Macaca mulatta: one gene and its partner. The protein of the gene in region 1 interacts with the protein of each later gene in a pairwise test. Links are inferred from orthologs where the notes say so. Each region holds a gene or a part of one and is shown in the gene's direction. Other genes may lie near its edges.

What was found.
Region 2: the proteins of PRKAA2 (region 1) and CCNB1IP1 interact in binary tests that used the Homo sapiens proteins (3 or more experiments, as listed by UniProt). The two-hybrid records come from large-scale screens. The link is inferred for Macaca mulatta from reciprocal best matches to the Homo sapiens genes PRKAA2 and CCNB1IP1.

Annotation. Positions count from the first base shown.
Region 1 is NC_133406.1:183,918,175-183,920,489, reverse strand, and holds part of PRKAA2 (5'-AMP-activated protein kinase catalytic subunit alpha-2), read left to right. Parts: intron 1-667; coding exon 668-906; 3' UTR 907-2,315. UniProt on the Homo sapiens protein: Catalytic subunit of AMP-activated protein kinase (AMPK), an energy sensor protein kinase that plays a key role in regulating cellular energy metabolism.
Region 2 is NC_133412.1:93,119,283-93,122,942, reverse strand, and holds part of CCNB1IP1 (E3 ubiquitin-protein ligase CCNB1IP1), read left to right. Parts: intron 1-62; coding exon 63-250; intron 251-1,474; coding exon 1,475-1,808; intron 1,809-3,660. UniProt on the Homo sapiens protein: Ubiquitin E3 ligase that acts as a limiting factor for crossing-over during meiosis: required during zygonema to limit the colocalization of RNF212 with MutS-gamma-associated recombination sites and thereby establish early differentiation of crossover and non-crossover sites.

The DNA of each region.
Region 1 (2,315 bases):
GGCCCAAGTGGGATAAAACCAGAATAAACTGAGGGTCAGGTGCTGGATGGAACAAAAATGGAACTGAGTTTAGAGTTAGGGAAGTTGTTTTAAACAAAGTATTTAAATTTTACTCTTGAACTACCATCAAATATGTACGGTAGTGTTTATATGGATCCCAGACCTCTTTCATCGAAATTACATGTTGTTATTAAAACACAGATCCCTGTGTTTTGGTCCTGGGAATCGTAGAATCTGCAGTTTTAACAAGATTTCTCTCACTTTGCCCCCCACTTCCCCAAGGCAATATATGATGGTAACTTTTATTTTTACCTTAATGATTTTTTTTGTTGATATGCTAGAAGAAAATAAGTTGTCAAGGATACGCTTTCTTCACATGAAGAGATATCAGTTTGATTGATGCCAGTATCAATGCCCAATACTCCGATTTGAGAAGGACTTAGAGGCCACATTTTGGCTGTGTGCACGTGTTGTGATTGGTAGCGATGTTTGTTATGATTGTTGGAAGGAAGAGAACTGTGCTTCTAAAACACTGAAACATGACATTCATTATTAAGTTGCCTTTGCTCAGATGTGTTTACTTAATATTCTGAATATCATAAATTCATAGGAAGGGCTTGGGCATATATACTTTTCATATAAATTGCTCTTCTTTGGTCCATTTCAGATGAAGTAGTGGAGCAGAGGTCTGGTTCCTCAACACCTCAGCGTTCCTGTTCTGCTGCTGGCTTACACAGACCAAGATCAAGTTTTGATTCCACAACTGCAGAGAGCCATTCACTTTCTGGCTCTCTCACTGGCTCTTTGATCGGAAGCACATTGTCTTCAGTTTCACCTCGCCTGGGCAGTCACACCATGGATTTTTTTGAAATGTGTGCCAGTCTGATTACTACTTTAGCCCGTTGATCTGTCTCTAGTTTCTTTCTGTTATTGCACTATGAAAATCAGATATATTCTTTAAATTTTTATCTTACTTTTGGATAATATCCACTGCAATACTAATTGAGAGACATGAATTATATCCAGGGGACACACAATGCTATTGAAATTACTGAAAACAAAATATCTGACATCTTATTTACTTGTAGAAATCTGTAATTCTATTGTGCCTATGATAAATTCACATAGGCAGTATCTTTAATAGGTTAATATCGATGAAGATTTTTAATTACAATAATGAGTTCACTACGGATGATTAACACACCACACTGGCGAACCATCTCAATGTAAGGGTGGTTTGGCAACACCTCCTTGCTTTACTGTTTGGTGTAGGTAAATCCAGTTTACTTCCTAAATTTCAGTAGGCTTTATGCTGTGTTTATGCCCCCAATTTATTTTAACAAAAGAAGATTAAAAAGTAAAAGAACCACGAGTAAGATATTATTTAAATGTTGAAATCTTAAAAACCTGCCCCCAAGGTTTCAGAAGCCAAGTTCTTTTAACAGTATTTTTACAAATACTGCCTAGTATATTCAACAGAAGGACTGTGGTCATGTCACAGGTAACCACAATTTTCAGGTTTCTTAAAAGCAGCTGTAACTGACTCAGTATTTTATCTTGAGATTTCCCTGAATAATATATTTATCTTAAGAGCATTCGAGTTTCAAATTAGTATTGGAACACCTGGAATTGCAACAACTTTTGTCTTTTACATATACTTACATCTTTTAAAAAATGTCTTCAAAACCTACCTTTCTCAAATTCTTTTGGCTCTATTTATTTTTGCATTTCACCAAACAGTGATAAAATAGTTAAATGAAAAAAAGCAAGGTATCAACAGTCCCTTAAATGAGAATTATCTTTGATCTTTATTTTGTGTGTTAGATGTTAGGGTCCTGGTGCATCTCATAATGCTGATTCTTCATGGCAAGCCACTCCCTTCACCCCACCTATCCTAGTCACTCTTGTCTTTGTTCATTGTTTGATCCTCAGTGGTTGGTGGGTACAGCTTTGAATCTTTTCTAGTTCCAAGTTTGAAAACACTCTTCTGGCCCTAAGGGCTTTCGTACACTTCCAAAGCTTGATAGGCTATGACCTTCACTGTTGAACCTGATAGGGCAGGGAAGCTTTGAACATCAAGAAAAAATTTTTCTCTTCAATAAATAAATATGTGTATTCACACACCAGTGCTTTTAAGCAAAAACCAGTTTTTGTTTTGTTTTGTTTTGCTTTGTGCAGGTTTTTTTAAGATTAAAAAAACACAAACTATAGCAGGGTAGATAATAGTTTATGATTATATTTTGTTTTGTTTTAGTAAAAGTATTTAATTTTAAATTATGTGTAATTTATCTAATTTGTATTTATTTGTTATTTTT
Region 2 (3,660 bases), on another chromosome or scaffold:
GAGGTGCCAGCTGTCCAATTACAGCTGTCACACCGTTTCTGGGAATTTCTCCTGATTCTTAGAAAGCCGGAGCTGCCCGCCGCACCTCCACAGGGCCTGGCAGGTCCCAGGATGCTTCGGGGCAACCCTACGCACGCGCGCTCTGGTGTAGTTCCCTGGAGCACTCGCGCAGAGAATCCTGGAATCTTCGCTTGTGGAGCTGTGGAGGCAACGGAGTTTTTCCGCGCTTTTTCTTTCAGCCTCAGATTAAGTATCATTTGTTATTATTATTTTCTCTACTGAGCGCGGAAAGCTGACTGAAAATTCCAGACTGTAATTTCTGTGGGGCTGTTTCTCTAAAACTTGGCCCTCACGCAGCTTGTACAGCCATTAGATAGGCGCTTACTCCCAACTGGTGGAAGATTCGAATTAGCTGCGCCTCTCTTGCCTGAGCGAGGGCTCAGCTTTAAAGCTTCCCAGCTCCTCTGCTTCGCCTCTGCCCCGGACGTAAAATAGGCCTCTTAACGTGGCTGCCAGGTGACATACCTGAGGAAACTCACTGAGCGGGGCTACTGGGATAAAGGTGTCCAAGTGTTCCTTTCTGTCGACCCGGAGGGCCAAGGCACCTTTTTTTTTTTTTTTTTTTTTTCTCTGAGGTGGAGTCTCGCTCTGTCGCCGGCTGGAGTGCAATGGCGCGATCTCGGCTCACTGCAACCTCCGCCTCCCGGGTTCAAACGATTCTCCTGCCTTAGCCTCCTAAATAGTTGGGACTATAGGCGCACGCCACCACGCCAGGCTAAATTTTTGTATTTTTGGTAGAGACGGGGTTTCACCATGTTAGTCAGGCTGGTGTTGAACTCTTGACCTCGTGATCCGTCTGCCTCGGCCTCCCACAGTGCTGGGATTATACAGGGGTGAGCCACTGCGCCCGGCCTATATATTGGTTTTGAGACAGATTCTTGCTCTGTCGCCCAGGCTGGAGTGCAGTGGCGCGATCTCTGTTCACTGCGACCTCTGCCTCCCGGATTCAAGTGATTCTCCTGCCTCGGCCTCCCTAGTAGCTGCGACTACAGGCTTGAGCCACCACGCCTGGCTAATTTTTGTATTTTTAATAGAGACTGGGTTTCCCCATGTTGGCCAGGCTGGTCTCGAACTCCTGACCTGCCTGCCTTGGCCTCCCAAAGTGCTGGGATTACAGGCGTGAGCCACTGCCCATGGCCCACATATATATTATTTTTGACTTTAGCAAGATCTGTAACCACCTTTGTCTTTACCTTTATCCTTAAAGTGTTTTTAGAAAACCGGACAAACAAGGAGCACAATTAATATTATTGAGTAACTGAAATCAATATATCAATTATACTAAATACAAGGAATATAATAAAATGTGCAGTATTTTATAATAAAAACATGCATGTTATATTTATTTTTTACTTATTTATTTTATTTTTATTGCAATTTAACTTACTTGGCCTTTTTATTTACCCCTTATTAGGACTCTCTTCAGCTTCTGGAGACCTCACTATCCTATTATGTCTTTGTGTGAAGACATGCTGCTTTGTAATTATCGAAAGTGTCGCATCAAACTCTCTGGCTATGCATGGGTCACTGCCTGCTCTCACATCTTCTGTGATCAGCATGGCAGTGGTGAGTTTAGTCGCTCACCAGCTATCTGTCCTGCCTGCAACAGTACCCTTTCTGGAAAGCTAGATATTGTCCGCACAGAACTCAGTCCATCAGAGGAATATAAAGCTATGGTATTGGCAGGACTGCGACCAGAGATCGTGTTGGACATTAGCTCCCGAGCACTGGCCTTCTGGACATATCAGGTTAGTGCTTAGTCTAGTTTCTCTTGAACATATAATTTCAGGCATTTGTGGGAGCTTCTAGTGTCTTTTCTTCATTATTTTATATTTATTTTTTATGAGTATATGAGAAACTGTCTTATTAGCTTGTTTTGTTTTCAATAATGTTTATTGTTGAAAATCAAAAGGAAGAAAATTAAAGCACTCATAATTCCATCACTCAGATATAACCATTGTTGATATTTTGGGTACACACACATGCGCGCGCACACACACACACACACTCTGTCTTCTGTATAAAAGTAAGATAATAACACACTGTTTTATTGTCAGAGTTGACAACATATATCTGGTATGTATTTTTCTTTCTTTTGAGATGGGGTTTTCTTGTGTTGCCCAGGCTAGTCTCTAACTCCTGGGTTCAAGCCATTCTTCTGCCTCAGCCTCCTGAGTAGCCTATGCTCCACTGGGTGTGAATATCTTGTTAAATATTTTTTAGTTAACTATTCTATAATCATATTTTAATGGTTATATTGTTTTTAGCATAATTTATTTCCAAGTTATTAAAATACTATGATAAGCATTCTTATCAAATAACACATCCTTAACTTCTTCCCTTTATGATTTCTACTTTAGTATTTCCTTTGAAAGACCTCCCTGTGGATAACTTTAAGCATGTCCTTGAATGTATTGTTATATCTTACATATACTCTTATACTTATTAAGGATGTTTGTCATCTGTTAAGTAACTTTTTATTATATTTTTCTGGGTAAGTTGTTTCTCTTACATGCTCCTGTATTTTTCAACTCCTTTGGTTAAATACCAAATAGTGTTTTTGCTGGCTTATGTGGTAAGAGTATGTTTATTTTTGTAAGCAACTGCCAAATTGTCTTCCAAAGTGGCTGTACCGTTTTATATTGCCAGCAGCAATGAGTGAGAACCTGTTGCTCCACATCTTTGCCAGAAGTTGGTATTGTCCATGTTCTGGATCTTGGCCATTTTAATAGGTGTATAGTGGTATCTCATTTTAATTTCCATGTCTCTGATGACATACGATGTGGAGCATCTTTTCATATGCTTTTTTGCCTTTTTTTTTTGGTGAGGTGTATATGAAGTTTTTGGTCTATTTTTAAATTTTTTTAATTGTTGAGTTTTAAGTGTTCTTTGTATCCTTACTGCGTTTGAAGTATTCTTTGATCCTTTCTCAGAGCTATCTTTTGCAAATATACTCTCCTGATCCGTGACTTGTCATTTCATTCTCTTACAGGGTCTTTCACAGAGCAGAGATTTTTAACTTGAATGAAGTCCTGCTTATCAATTTTCTCTTTCATGGATTATACCTTTGGTATATTTTAAAAGTCACTGCCAAATCCAAGATAATCTAGATTTTATCCTATGTTATCTTCTGGGAGTTTTATAGTTTTGCATTTTACATTTAAGTCTGTAAACCATTTTGAGTTTATTTTTGCAAAAAGCGTAAGATCTGTCTAGATTCATTGGGTCCTCAATTTTTTTCTGGCTATTCACCAGAGACTCTTAGTTACTTGCCTCTTGGGCCTTCCTGACATGGCTGCTTGCCTCCTCAAAGCCAGCAAGGGAGTGTGTCTCGTAGTAAGACAGACCTTATAGTCTTAGGTAATATACTTACGAAGTGACAACCTGTCACATTTTATGTAGTATTGTAGTCACAGGTCCTGCCCACATGCAAGGGGATAGGGAGTTACACAAGGGTGTATGTACCAGGAGACAATGATAATTTGGGGTTGTCTTAGAGTCTGTTCTTCATGCTCTGGATGACTTGAAAAATGGGATTATATTTCTTAAAAACCTTTGGAAAACATGTCACTTGTTAAAGTAAGACAAATACTCAGTTCT